Lonchura striata: one gene and its partner. The protein of the gene in region 1 interacts with the protein of each later gene in a pairwise test. Links are inferred from orthologs where the notes say so. Each region holds a gene or a part of one and is shown in the gene's direction. Other genes may lie near its edges. The genes, in order: UBA3 and IMPA2.

Region 1 (7,676 bases):
GGCTGAAAGTAAAATCTGCATTACTGCAAAACACAATTTACAGGTAACAGTAGCTACAGGAGGAGGCAAATAGAGGGAGAAAGGCAGGGACATAATGCAGAAAAGATGATTACAATTCCACTGTGCTCATGGCAAGGTTATTCCATACTTTGTGGAGAGAAGGTAAAAGGCTGGAGAAGTCAGCTTTGTTATAGGAGGGGCAGCAAACTAAAGCTGTGGCACAAAGCACAAAGTATTTCCAGTATCAAGAAAGCTCTGGACTACAATTTCTGTGTCAACCCAGCTCAACCACAGAACTGCAACAGCTGAAAATATTATCTTTGCATTTCAAGTCTGTCTGTATAATTAGATGGCTTATGGGCAGGTAAAGTTGGTCACAGATTAAGACCACTTTATTAGTGGTTCCAACAATCCTGCCCTTAGGCCTGGACACAGCCCTGGAGTTCCTAAAAAGCCATGATTCATCATTTATCAGGGGTTCCCGACCATTACAGGATGAAGTGAAAGACAACTTAGTCATCAATTTAAATTTATCAGGAGAACTTTCTTTACCTTTCTTCCAAAGCCACAGTCTGGCCAATTGAAAAGTATTTTTATTAAAAGAAATGGATACTTTTTCTCTATTGAGGTATTATCCCATTTCCTTTAGAATTATTCTCCCATCTAATTTTACTTCCATGTCAGAAGAATCAGGTTCATCATATACCAAAGACTAAGACATGCAATAAAAAAATATGTGAGATAAAGATCCCACTTCAGGTCTTGTTCATCCATAAGTTTTCAACTCAGAGGGTTATCACTCAATATTAAGATATTATAATTTCAGCTCTGATATTAGTTTCCATCTTCTGTGGCTCTCTTCCTCCTCCACCTCCCACCTCAGCACATTAGTAGGAAATAAGTGGGAGACAAATCTCCCTTGATCTGAAGAAAAGCAATCAAGAGTTCCAAAGCAGGAATTTAGGAAGGTGAGTAAAAGCTGCTGCCATCCCTGTTTTACAGGGAGATACCCTGTTTGGAGATACCTAAATTATTTTCATTCTTTTCCCACCTTCTTGGGCAGAAGAGCTGTCCGCCTGCTTTCCAGGGACCCTGTGATTTACTTGTTCATTGAGAGCCAGCTACAACATGGTGCTGCTAATGAGGGTAATGAACACACAAATATAGAACAAAGTGGTAGAAGAACAGCAAGACCATAGAAGTCTCATTTTGCCAGCCTAGTAGTCTGTAAATATCACTGCAACATATTGCCACCAAAATACAAAATAAAAATGCCTATGCCACTCTACTGAACCTAAAACCATCATATGCATTAAGAAGAAAATGCAGGATTGAGCCTATCCTTCCACAGAGTACAGGTCAAAGTCTGCTGTGAGCCAGAGAATCTTTATCAACTTAGATGCTGGGTCAACAGCTTCAGAAGCCCTAACAGGATGCAGAATGCGTACCCCTCACAAAAAAAAAAAAAAAAAAAAATATTTAGGGGAATCACTTTAAGCCTCTGCAACATAAGAGATAAGATGTACTTCAGCCAAAGCCACTCTGGCCTGGTAGCTGGGCAGTTCTCCAATTTAAGCATTTGTGCGTTGCTTGTTGAGAAGAGTGGAGTATTTCAGTTTCCATATTAAAAGCTTAATCATCGTTTCTGCTGCATGTCTTGCTTAAGAGCTTTCTGACCAAAGATCCTAGAGCAGTACCTGAAATAGAGTCACATAGCCTTTAATTCAGAAGGTGATTATAAGGTTATTTCCTCATTCCCTTCAGGAATGCTGGGTGTGAAACAACATTGTACCAGCAGATGGTCCTGCCTCGAAGGTGTGAATCCTGCCCACCAGAACGAAATGATGGGGTACCTTATTTATTTTATAGCGATTTTTTTTGGTATGAGCTAGTTCAGAAATAAGAACGGCTTGCCCTGAACATTACTTTAGGACAGTTACAGAGAGCAGAATTTATCTATGCATTTTTTTTTAAATTCAAAGCTGAGCGTGCCTCAGCCTGAGCAGCCCCGCTGGGCAGGTTCAGGAGGAAGCACAGATCGCTGCGCAGGATGCGGCTCCGATTTCCGCGAGCAGCAACATCCCGCACCCCAAGCATCGCTGCCTTCCGCAGCCTCCGCCTCGGGCACAGGGCTGGAGGAGCAGCCCGTGGGAAAGGGAGACAACACACACGGAGTCCTCAGGCCGGTCACACCCCACCAACACATCACAAACCCGGCTGCTACCGCGGCTGTAAACCAGGCCTCTACATTTTTTAAACGACACCAGAGGTTTAAGGAGGGGCGGGATGGGGAAAGGGGAGTGGAGGAGGGTAAGGGGAAAAGAGGGGAAAAGGAGGAAGGGAAAAGGCAGCTCCCCCGCCCCTGTACTCTCACATCGGGTTCTTTCCCGTGGCACCCGCCCGGGGAGCGGGGCCACCCCAGCCGCAGCCCGGCCCTGCCGGCCGCACCGCGAGGCCGCGCACTGACCCCACGATGGAGACGAGCGCGGCGGCCACCATCAGGTAGTTGGTCTGGTAGTAGAGCAGGTTGCTGACCACGCGGTTGTTCCATTTCGAGATGTCCTTGAGGTCGGGCAGCGCGAAGCGATCCGAGCCGGGGAAGAAATCGTCCCAAGCCCGCAGCGGGGCCACCTGCACCTCCATGGCCGCCGCCGCCGCCGCGCAGGCTCGGGAGCGCCGGGCACCGCCCCGGGGCGGCACCGACACCGACAGCGACAGCGGTACCGGGGCGGCACCGGCACCGACAGCGACAGCGGTACCGGGGCGGCTCCGGCACCGACAGCGACAGCGGTACCGGGGCGGCACCGGCACCGACAGCGACAGCGGTACCGGGGCGGCACCGACAGCGACAGCGGTACCGGGGCGGCACCGGCACCGACAGCGGCCCCGCGCCGGTGCGGCCCCGCCGCTCCGCGCTGCCGAGCCCGCGAGCGAACGGGCAGCAGCACAAGCGACAGGCGTGTGTCACCGCCCAGGGCTGGCAGCTGGCAGGGGCTGCTGTCAATAATCGCTGTGCGTTCATTGTTCCTTCAGCGAGTGGTGATGCACGTTGAGCATTCACGTGGGCGAAGCCACTCGGCATCATCTGTGAAAGCAGGGATGAGTGGGGCGGGCACCGCGAGGAGTGTCAGCCTCACCACTGCGGGGTGTCCCATGGCAGGGGGGCTCTGCTAGTGGGGTTTAGGATGTCTTCAGGCTGAATTTGCTGTCTTCACGCTGAATTTTCTCACCTTTTGCAAAGTAACTGATGCCGTCTGATAATTTCTACGATATAATTTGCCTAATGAAAAAAAGAACTTTGGATTTCAGGCATTGCGTTAGATTACATCACCTAAATAAATATGCATTAGGAGGGCGGAGAATATGTAGTAAGTAGGCGTGTTCATGTAAATGTTACTATATAATAGATAAAACTTCTTACCCCTTGGGGTACTTGATTTTGGAAACTTCCGCCTGGCAGATTAAACCATGTCTCCTTTCTAAACCAGACTCTGTGTTTAGAGAGCTCCTAAAATAGGCAACAGGGTGACTGTGCCTTTGGATGGAAAGGTTGGTGCCTGCAGCTGTGGTGTTTTGACCCCAGCAGTCTGTGTTGGAACATTTGTGTTTTCAGGCTTTCACACTTCAGCCACCATGGCTCGAGCACGGGCTGTTTGTGCATCACACAGCACCCAGGGTTTGCTGATACCGTGCCGAGCATCAAAATCCTTCTCCAAATGTAAGCAGGCTGGCACTTGAAGGAATCCTTGAAGGATTTACATCCCTGAAGTTTGGAAGTCCAAGACTTGAACACAGGCCAAGTTAGTCCTCATCATCTTCCTGGCCTGCACTGTTCTGGTTTATGTGTGGTCCTTGGTTTATGTGGTTCTGGTTTATGTCCAGGCCCTGCCCAGGGAGTGTTAGTAAGACAAAAAGCCATTGTGGCAGGCAGCGACCAGCCTGAGCCTGATCACATTTGGGTTCCAGCTGTCCTGAAGGCTTTAAAGCACCATGGTGTCTGCCCTTTTTCCCTGAGGATGCCCTCCATGGCTCCCAGGGAGTTCTGAGCCCGGAGGAGGCTGGAGCAGCTCTGCTACGAGGAAAGGCTGAGGGAATTGGGATGGCTCAGCCTGGGGAAGAGGAGGCTCTGCGGTGACCTAATTGTGGCCTCCCAGTACCTGAAGGAAGGCTGCAACAAAGATGGAGAGAGACTATTTACAAGGGCCTGGAGTGATAGGATAAAGGGGAAGGGCTTCAAACTGATGGACAGTAGGTTTAGATTAAATACTAGGAAGAAATGCTTCCCTGTGAGGGTGGTGAGGCACAGATTGTCCAGAGAAACTGCTCAGATGCTTTTCCCATCCCTGGAAGTGTTCAAGGCCAGGTTGGACGGGGCTTGGAGCAACCTGGGGCAGTGGAAGGGGTGAAAGTGGATGGGCTTTGAGGTCCCTTTGAAGCGAAACCATCGCACTCTGTGGCCATCAGAGAGGCGGGCGCAGGGAGATCCCTCGGGTGCGGGCAGGCGGGACGGGAGGGAGCCTCTGTGTGAGGGAACGGGGGTGTCCCTGCCGAGTGTCCGTGCTTGTTGTCCCCACTGTCCCCACTGTCGCCACTGTCGCCACTATCGCCACTATCGCCTCAGCCGCCTCAGGCGGCGCTGCCCGCGCCGCGCCCGGCGCCGCCCCTCGCGGGGCACTGTGGGAAGCAGAGGGAACTATGGCGGATGGTGAGGAACCGTAAGTGCCCTGTATGTGTGTGCTCGGCCGGCCCTGCCCCGCGCCCGCGGTCCCCTCTCCCTCCTCCCCGGTCTCTGTAGCGCGATACTGACCCTTCTTTTATTCTCTCTCTTTTAGGGAGAAGAAAAGAAGGAGGCTAGAGGAGCTGCTGGCGGATGGGTTAGTGCGGGGCTGCGGGCCAGCGGGGCAGGGGCAGCGCTTGCTGGGGCGGGGTGAGGTGAGGGCAGCCGCAGCCCCGCAGGAGCTGAGCGCGGGCAGGGAGGAGGGAGCCCCAGGAGAGCTGGCGTAGCTGGGGCAGGGCCCTTGAGCAGCGAGGCCTGGGGGACAGGAGAGGAGAGGAAGCTCCCGGGGAGGCAGAGGAGCGAGGGGCTGGCCCGGAGCGGCGTGGGAGATGCGGGCTCGCAGCTTGGCATGGTGTGCTGAAGAGCTTGGTGACCAGAGGGGGGAAAGCTGCCTTGCCGTCAGGGACCTGGGAGGGCCTCTAGGCTAGAAGCAGGTGACTTAAGCTTTTGGCTGGAAATTTAAAAATTCAGACTGCAGAACGGTTGTCTCTGCACATTAAAACGCGTTAAAATCTAGCCTTAAAGGCCGTGAAAATGAATGTTGAGAAATCCTTAACGACATCTGCTTCATTCCTGAATTATTCCATTCCATGTGCTTGTGTCCCTCTACCCCAGGGTCAGCAGGCAGTGCATGTGTGTGGGGATGGGGCCACAGCATTCCCTGGGCATGTGGGATGGGAGGGGGTGCATGCCAAGTCCCCCAAAAGCATGGAGCTTTGCAGATGTGAAGGTGGCAGGGAAAAGTCTGAGCTTAAAGCAATATAAGGACTGTGGTGCTCTGATATTTCAAACAAAATTTAAAATGAAAATAACTCAATGAAATACAAAAAAATGCTCTTGAACTCTTATACCTGGTCGTGCTGTAACAGCACAAAAAGTGAAGATGGCAGGGAAAAGTCTGAGCTTAAAGCAATATAAGGACTGTGGTGCTCTGATATTTCAAGCAAAATTTAAAACGAAAATAACTAAATGAAATACATAAGAATATTGTTGAACTCTTATACCTGGTCATGCTGTAACAGCACAAAAAATAAACACTGGAGAAAACTGCCTGTGAAATAAAACATGAAATCTCAGGTTGAGTTATGGATGTTTTTCAGATCTCCACAATGTCCAACCATCTAAAAATCGAACTGTAGTCTAATTGCAAAAGTGAAATTAGATCTTAGCATTTTTATCAATTAGGAAGGAAAATACATATCTAAACAGAAATACACATTGAAACAGAAAAGGAATGCTGCTGCTTAGTAGCTGTTCATAAGGGCTATATAAAAGAATAAAAAATTTGTTCTTAATGTCACCAAACATTGCTTCAACACTAATTTCCAGAAACACTAAAAACTATAATATCCATAGAAGCAGTTTTTGTGATGTCTGCTGATCCATTTTATTTGCTTAAGTCAGTGCTTAATGCACCTCCTGAAATCTGGTGTACAGCAGATGAGGGGTTCTGCACAGAGGGTGCTGTGTTCATTTACACCATTTCCCATTATGTGAAATATGTGTATTTTCATATTATTGTGAAAACTAGAGGAGATATGAAAGTGCATCTGAGGTCAAAAGACCCTTATGAATTAAAGTAATTTTTGTATGTCTTATTTAACTGCTCATGTAGTGAATAACTCCCCTCAGCTATTAATGAGGAGAGTTCAGTCTGCAATCAAATTATCATAGAATCCTAGAATGGTTTGAGTTGGAAGGGACCTTAAAGATCATCTCATTCCAACCCGCTGCCATAGGCAGAGACATCACAGGTGAATTATGATTTATTTATTCCTGCAGTTTAGGGAAGTTTTTCCCTATTACTGAAAATCTTTTCCAAAATCTGTTGCCTGTAAGTTCAGTTACTATTGGCACACTGTGTTGTCCAAGTTCTGAATTCTGTGAAGATAAAGGAACTCACTCCAGATGTTTTCACCACATTTACCTTTGATTTTGAGATGAGTTACAAGGAAGTTATAATAAATTCTAAACATTATCCAAGAATTATTAGACAAGTGCTTTTCATAGTGCTTCATAGGAGAAAGCAGGTAACACTTTATCAGTGGTGACACATCCTTTGCTACTCAGGATTGAATCCTTTATATTAATGTAGAACATAATCATATTTATTGAGTGGAACTCCTGTTTATTTAATAGGGAAGTAGATGTTAATCTTACAGTAGAAAATTACTTGAGAGCTGATTTTGAACTATTCCTGTAAGTCTCTGAAAAATTTAAGTCTATACTTATGTACTATTAAAAGTGACCTGCAAAATGAGAAAAGGGTAGTGGAGTATTCAATGTAAAATTCTGCCTTGAAAATTTAAAGGAAGATAGCTGCAAACATTCCTTTTTTTTTCAATTGAGACTGTTACTGCAGACAGGCTTGAGCATGCCTGAAAAATGGGACAGTTCCAATTCCCTGGTACCACTTGAGGGTGAAGAACATTCTTGATTCATGTATTTTAAAAATATTTGTTTAAATAAACTACCCTGAAGATTGAGAGGATGATATTGGGGCATGTTACTGTAATTTATTCAGAGCCTCACAATTGCAGTTACAGACTGATAAGTCTATCAAAAAAAGATACAAGACTTGAGTGATGAAAAAATGATCACCCTCAAAATCTAAAGGAACAAGCTCTTTTTCAGTGTCCTCTTCAAATTTGAGGGAAATAAAAGTAATAAGAATAGGCCCTTTTTAAACTGCAGGTCAACTTTTACTAGTAACTGTTAAAGCAGTGGGTTTATTGAAAGGCCTGGGTTTTTTTTTCCCCTCTGTGCATATTTATATTATTGCTTTCTAGTTTCACAAATAAAACCCACTCATGCAAATGCTCATGTGCATTACTTAAGAGGCATAAAGAATATGCAGGTGCATTTGTACAAATGATCAATAATTTAGGTGTTCTTTGCA
Region 2 (7,457 bases), on another chromosome or scaffold:
CTATTTTATTATTAATAAACTTTTAAGATTAAAAAAAAAAAAAAACCGATTGATGTTTTTCACACAGTGATCCCTGAGACTTCTAGACATAGAGAAGAAAGATGGTCAGAGTACGGCTCTGCATGATAGAAAGGGAACACAAGAAATATCTCATACATCACTCAGAACAGTGCATTAATTAAGCATTAACTCATTAGTGAGCATTATGAAAAACAGTGCCAGTGTTAGGAATCTCTGATTGTCTCGGATGGAGCAGAAGTGGGATCAGCACAGCTCTTCTGTAGAGTCCAGCAATAAGAAAGAGCATCTCCTTAAGATCTAACTTCATTTCTTATAGCCAAAAGGAAAATCTGGGCCAAACAGCCTCCTTTATCAGGTATAAAATCTCCCATTGCAACATTAGGATTACATTAAACTACAACATTGTAGCAGTTTGCACAAACAAAAAGCTGGGTTACCGCGTAAAGGCAGACTGAAACTACATGCTTTGTGAGATTCCTGCTAAAAGCTCTGGGGAAAAGGACTAGAGATGGTAAACAACAATTTTATATGACTAATCCAATATAATCCTATGCTGGGTAAAAAAGCCATCTGCATGGATTCCCACTGAAGTGCACTTTAATAACAGTGCAGCAAGCCTCTGGCTGTCACACTGAGGAAATGCTCTTTCGCACTCAGGATAATAATTGCAAAAGATTTCTTCCTTTTTCTTTTTTTCTTCACCCCTCTGTTTTTATTAAAGCTGTTATACACTTGTCCTCCCATTTTATCCCCTGTTAGGAGATCGTCTATCAAACCAAAGAAATGACAAAGATCCATCAAGTCCGTGAAGTGCCAAAGATCCGCACTGGAGAGCATCTGAGGATCCCATGCCGACGGCTACAGCGAGGTCACCTTCACTCTGCAAAACTACAACCTTATTACATCACTGCAGCCTGCAATTACTATCGGCGTAGAGAATGGCAAGCTGTCTGCTGAGGCAGAATTAAACCAGTTCCAGCTGCGGCAGCTGCCCCACCGAGTGACCCTGGGTTTTGCTCCGAGCAGACCGCGCTGGGGACCCCTGCGCGGCGCACGGAGCGGCCGCACCGCGTATTTTGCGCAGCGCCTTGGGACAGGAAGGGAAGGAGACCGCCACCCCCAGCTGAGCCACACCTAAGTCAATTAGGGCTTCACACCCCGGGAGAGAAGGAAATCCGTGACTAGTCTCCCTTTTCTCCTCTGAGGTCAAAGAGGAGGTTTTCCCCTCCACTGAGCATCCATTGTCTCGGGGAAGGAAGTCTGACATCCACACAAGTCTGCCTGGGGCTCAGGAGGATTGAGGCAGACAAAGCACCCAAGAAACACTTGTATTTCAGGTTCATCAGGATGGGCCTATTCCAAGTGGATTAAACACGCGGTGTGTGTGTAGGTTACGAAAGGCATGTGAGAGGAACTGGCTAGAGTTTGGGGTTATGAAAGATCAGAGGTTATGAAAGACCTTGGCAGTTGTGAAAGATGAGCCAAGAGTCTGATCCAGCAAGGCAGAGAGCAGCCTCAACCAGCTCGCAGGTGAATGGACAGTCAATGTCAGCCAGCAGCTCACATGGGGAAGCTCACACTGCCTGGGCAGGTCTAGGCTAAGGAAGGTTTGAAAAAATCATGGACTAGGAGAATGATAAAGAGAAATATTACCATTTAAAGGCCTTACAGGCAGCTGTATTTTCTTGCAAAGTATTTTGGAAAGTCTTGAAATACTAGCTGTAGCTACTGATTTTCTAAGTATTCTTTACTGACCTTCTAGTCCTGTTTTAAATCTCCCTGCACGAGCCACATAGCTGCAGTAAATCTGTAAAAAATGAGGACTCATTCAGATATTTCAGCCTCTCAAGTTCAGCCTCCAGTGATCCTATTATCACTATTCTACCACCAGAATGAAAAGAAGGCTGGAAAAATTCTACTGTTGAAATGCTTATTTTTCCAGACGTTACTTAGAAAGAGGACGCACTCCTGTGAAGAAAAAATATTGAGGGGAGCACTTCCCCCTCTTTGCAACAGTACTTCTCTGTGAAGTTGTGTGTAACTTTCTGTAGATACCTTCAGTGGGGATACTTGTATACAGTGTATCCTGCTACTGCATTGTAATTCACACTAACTGCTTTTAAAACATGCCTTAAATAGTCTTCCAAACGCCCCTGTGGCAGCCTAATAACAACAAATCTCCAGGCATTTAGGCAGACCCCAGGCATACAGGAAGAAACCACTTGCACTACATCAGATTAGGATCTAGCCTGTTTCAGCAATAGGTATAGGCGTTTATTGTTGGCAAATTCAGTAACTAAAACTTTGTAGTTCAAGAAAAAACACAGAAAGCACTTCTATCATGGTCTGAGATGCTTCCTGGAATGCAAAACCATTATTAACTCTACATCTTTTTCACCAAAGTTAAAGCTGTCTATACTACATCTCAGCAGTCCACAAATTTCACAAGGAAATACATTTACCCATCTAGCCCTGCACAGAAACTCTCTAGGGAAGGTCCTGAAGATGCCTCATGCTATGGCAGCAATAAAAAACACAAATTTCCAAAACCTAGAGGAAATTCAGACTAAAGAAGAATCCAGACCAATTCTATTCTATACTAGTCCAAATTATACTGCATGTTTGTAGGGTTTTTTGCATTTAACTAATCTAACATAGGAATGACGCAAATATGCATTTGGAGGAAACAAATCAGTCAGCAGAAAGATTGACAAATATTTGGTGAAGATTTATTCAACAAAATTTCATAATTTCATGCTTCAACCAAACATACACACTTTGTGTAGTAGTTAATTCACCTTTTCATAGTTTGTTACCATTTTTTCCTGATTCAAAATGGGGACTACAAAATATTTCATTAAGTAGACTGACATCCACTGCCAGGGTGCAGCTTAGAAATTTAAAGAATTAAGTTGAATTCTTGTGGTACAAGCCACAAAGTTCACTCCCTTGCTTTAGGGGGAAAAGATCCAAGTGTTTAATTTTAGAAAGTGTCTATTATTTTTGTGAACTGCCTAGGCAAGCATATCCCTCTCATCCCAAAGTCATCTTTGTCCTACAAGATAAAAAACAAAAGAAAATAGGTCTAGATTTAGGGTCTGTTACATTAAGTAGAATACCCACATCAATTTAATTTAGCCTATTCTCTAGGAAATTAATTAATTTTGTGCTCAGAGATAGGAAATGGTGGTGTTAGCCAATTTTCTTCATGCAAATTCGTTACTAAAGCATCTCTATTCTAGCCCTGGGAATGAAACTCTCAACCACAAAGCAGGTGCTGAAAGACAATAACAAATTTCATGCACTCTGTATACCTAATGCCTCTTTCAAAAAGCTACGCTGATGGATTCAGTCCCTGGGCTCTCTTTTTTCCAATTCAATGCCAAGTGTGCATCGGAACAAGTCATTTGGAAAAGCCTCACTCTGACAGATAAAGTGTGTGTTCCCAACACTCACTCGGTGTTTTAAGCACAACAGTCTGGCTGCTCTATTGCATAAGCACGCATTCATCCTGGGCTGCCCTCCTTCGGAGAGGCGGATCCAGAATCGCTCAGCTCTGTTCCCTGCTCTGCCGGCATGGCAATTTGGCTTATACGGATTCTGGAACAGCGAGTTCTCAATTCTCTTCTTTTCATCCTTGACAAATCCAAAATGACACACGAAGACAAGGGAAAAATAGAAAGGGCCATGTATTTCTTACCACACACTTGAACTCCCAATCACTAACAAGCTGAACTCCCGAGGCCGCTTTTCCCACACTTTTCCCCTTTCATTCCGGAGATAGCCAATGCCAGCCGCCAGCTTTTCCCCCAAAGTCCCGGTAACGCCGAGAGCCGGGCGAGGTGGCTGCGGCACACGGGGACAGCGGAGCCCCGAGGGGCCGCTCGGCCCGGGAGCGCGGCCGCTCCTCCTTCTCCCGGGGGAAACAGGAGCGCCCCAGCCCCAGCCTGGCGGTCCCGGCGCCATGTCAGGAGGGGCGGCAGGAGCACGGCCATGGCGATGGCGGCGCATCTTGCCCTCCGCATCCTGCGCTCCGCATCCCGCATCCTGCGCTCCGCAACCCCCTGCGCACCCTGCCCGCCGCATCCCGCCCTCTCGGCGCGGCCCCGGCGCTGCTCTCCGCGGTACCCCCGCCTCTGCCGGCCCTCCTCCGCCCCCGGGGCTCACCTAAAGCCAGCTCTCAGCAGCCAGCCCGCCTTCCCCATTGACCGCGGCTGCCGCCTCTCTCCGCCCCGCCGCGCTGGGCGGGGCGCGGCCGGGGCGCGCAGTGACAGCGCCGGGCGGTGTGTGCGCCCAGGGCATCCTCCTCGGCGGGCGCTCCTGGGCGGGGAGCCGGGCCCCCCGCGCCCCCCGGCCCCGCTCCGGGCAGCGCGGCCGCCGCGATGAAGCCGTGCGAGGAGGAGGAGGAGGAAGGGCGGGCGGCGGGCGGCGGCGGGGACCCCTGGAAGGAGTGCGCGGAGGTGGCGGTGCAGCTGGCGCGCCGCGCCGGGCAGGTGAGAGCCGGGCCGGGCTGCCCCGCGGCCGGAGGAGCCTTCTCCCGTGCGGGCGCTCGGCTGGTGCGGAGCCGGGGCGCGGGAGGAGGGCGGCGGGGCTCGGCACCCGCTCGCCCGGGCCGCCGGCGGAGCCTTCGGCCGCGGGAGGGATGGCGGCAGCGGGGCCCCATCCCGAGGGACCCCAGAACCTGGGGGCCAACCCTCAGAGGCCACATCCCCCGGGAGCCTCATGCCGCGGGGACACTTCCCTCGAGGCCCCAGCCCGGGGTAGGGAGGCCCAGCCCTTGGGGGTACTTCCCTCGGGGGCTGCATGCCCCCAAAGGGCCCCTTCCCTGCGAGGCCCCATCCCTCGGGTGCATCCCTTGGGGGTTGCATCCTTCGGGGCCAGCATTTGTTTTCCAGCAGCTTGTGCAGAGAAAAACAACCGTGTCAAGGAGGTTTTCTCTTGTTAGAGTGGCCGAAATTAACTTGCTAGGGACAAATAGCTGTGTGAGGAAGGTCTGTAGTAGCTTATTTCAGATCCGTGTTTTGACACAGCAGGTTAGTCATCTCAGGAGGCAGCCTGACCCCACTCTGCAGCAGCAAAACTTCCACCAGGTCTAACAGAGCCAAGAAGTGGGATCAGCAGATTGATTGATTGAGAAACTGGGTGAAACACAAATTTATTCAGCAATGTATATTTCTCTCTCGCTTCCATTCTGCTCTATTTTGAAACACGCTTTGTACATATACACTGTGATTTAAGAAGCCCCCTTTTTAATCTTGAGTCCAAGATCCATAACTTTTATAAATAAAAGTATTAATAAATAAAATGTAATATTAAATACATTTTCTCCTTAGTCAAAAACAACTACAAGTGAACAGAATGCCAGAGGAGACTTGTTTTAATAATACAGGGACTAAATGGATAATCCAAATCAGGATGACAGGTCATGCTCTCACAGACTCTCAAAACAGGAGTTTCTCCAGCAGTCATTCTGCCAGCCGTTTCACAAGAAGAGACTCATGACTTGCTCAAGCCTCCACACCTTATTTCTCAAAACACCAATTTGTGAAGCCAGCTTTAAGCTTCCCCAATCATTTTACTTGCTCAGAAAATCACAGCTGAGCACCTTTTCCTGGAAGAAGTAAACATTCCATAAGACTAATCCTTGAATCTGAAATCACAATTTGCCATTGCTACCTTGTAAATGGCATGAAATACCTGATTCATTGGCAGGCCAAATTTAAGCCAGCCAAGGATGTTGTTTAAGTAGGACTTTGGAAACTGGGTATTTTTTTTTCCAATTATTTTGTCATGTTAAGGAATCTTTTTTGTTACAAAAGGCACTGGAGATCCTTCTGGAAGAAAAGGTGCAGGTATGGCTCTATTATTTTATTTAAGTGTCAATCTGCTTCCAGCTATTACCAAAATAAACTATAGCTAAGGACACCTAGTGCAGTGCAAAATGTGTTTCGTAGGACTGGCAGTTTGTTGAAGACTGAATGATAAAAATGGGGGTTATCTTGATCACCAAAAGCGGTCAATTCCACTAGCCAAGTTCATTTTTTTCTTCTGCTTCTCTTCCCATCCCTCAGACCTTTCCACCTTCACCTCCATCCCTAGAAATCTGCTTGCACTCTGTGTCTCCCCACATCTAAATTTAATCTCCATCTCTGGATGAGACTTTGCCACTTCAGCCTTTTCTTTAAGGTGCTCCATTTCTCAGGAGTGTGGCAGGTTAGGAAGGGTTGGAATCATTAGAAAATGTCTACAAGAGTCTTGGCCTGAAGAAAAATGTGCACCTCCAGATTTTGGATTTCTAGGAAAAGTCAGCCAGTAACACAGTTTTCCAGTCTCCCTTTTGGCTTATACAACCAATTGATTTGTATTGCATTATGTTTCATGACTGTAGGTAAAATGTGTCTTCTTCCCAACAGAGAGGAGTCTACACTATAGAATAGTTTCTTCTAAACTTAAAAGGCCAATAAAGAAGTGATGCTTGATTATGTGTCTAAAGTATTGTTGCTGGAGTAACCTCTATTACTAGGTTAAAATCACTGATTCTCTTGCCCTGTGGCAAGTTCTTATTACTTTTATGAAATAACACAGGCTCTCATTTAATATATATGGCTGTTTCATAACAAGAATGGTCATGGTTTTGTAATGTCTGTAATTGACCTGCTTTTAAATTCATTCTATAAGGCCACAAATAACTTCACTTTTTCAAATTTCCCTTCTGTTTTTTTCTGTAAGTAACCTGCTTGCTCTGTTCATGAAAGTATAGCCATAGGTTTGATATTACTTTTTGCTCAAGAAAAGCAGGCCTGACCAATCTGTGCATCTTTGATGCTGTTAAGCGCACTGACTAATATCTTCACTGTTCTCTCCAATTGCAGAATTGGAAAAGCTTAACCAAAATGAGTAAACAAACATCCAGGTAAAAATAAGAGTAAGAAACTGATACTAGGACATAGTATGCTGAAGTTTGATTTTTTTTTTCTCTCTAGTATTTTTTTCTTTTTTGTCTGGAAAATAGTTTTATGAGGCATAAAAGATCTAGCAGAATACCACTAAAAGAAAAAAAAAGACAAAATTTTTCTGGTATTCTAAAAAGCCAATATATTTTTCCATGATGTTTGCTCCCAGGGGAAAATTTTAGGCTATTTTTGATGTAACGTGGACAGATGTTTTAGCAAACCAGATTGGAATTTCCTGAATTATTTGCAGATACTCACGCTTTTTATCTAGATGTTTGATTTTATTAGTCAGTAAATATTTCAGGACAGCATTGCAAGCATCCATAATCCATCTTGGATCTCCCAGAAGTGTATGGTGGGTGCAAGCAGTATGGTGAAATGAAATATCTGACATGAGCACACTACTGTAGGAGACTCTCCTGACAGGTGCTGGGGGAAAAGGCATCTTGACTTTCTGTTTTCTTCATTCTGCTTTGTTGTAAT

The links.
Region 2: the proteins of UBA3 (region 1) and IMPA2 interact in binary tests that used the Homo sapiens proteins (3 or more experiments, as listed by UniProt). The two-hybrid records come from large-scale screens. The link is inferred for Lonchura striata from reciprocal best matches to the Homo sapiens genes UBA3 and IMPA2.

The regions. Positions count from the first base shown.
Region 1 is NC_134614.1:19,697,906-19,705,581, reverse strand, and holds the start of UBA3 (NEDD8-activating enzyme E1 catalytic subunit), read left to right. Parts: upstream 1-4,669; 5' UTR 4,670-4,695; coding exon 4,696-4,715; exon of another isoform or gene 4,716-4,726; intron 4,727-4,832; coding exon 4,833-4,874; intron 4,875-7,676. Other genes in the region: ARL6IP5 (PRA1 family protein 3), read right to left, coding at 2,468-2,643. UniProt on the Homo sapiens protein: Catalytic subunit of the dimeric UBA3-NAE1 E1 enzyme. E1 activates NEDD8 by first adenylating its C-terminal glycine residue with ATP, thereafter linking this residue to the side chain of the catalytic cysteine, yielding a NEDD8-UBA3 thioester and free AMP.
Region 2 is NC_134603.1:52,902,922-52,910,378, forward strand, and holds the start of IMPA2 (inositol monophosphatase 2), read left to right. Parts: upstream 1-4,254; 5' UTR 4,255-4,403; coding exon 4,404-4,514; intron 4,515-7,457. UniProt on the Homo sapiens protein: Phosphatase that can use myo-inositol monophosphates, myo-inositol 1,4-diphosphate, scyllo-inositol-1,4-diphosphate, glucose-1-phosphate, beta-glycerophosphate and 2'-AMP as substrates in vitro.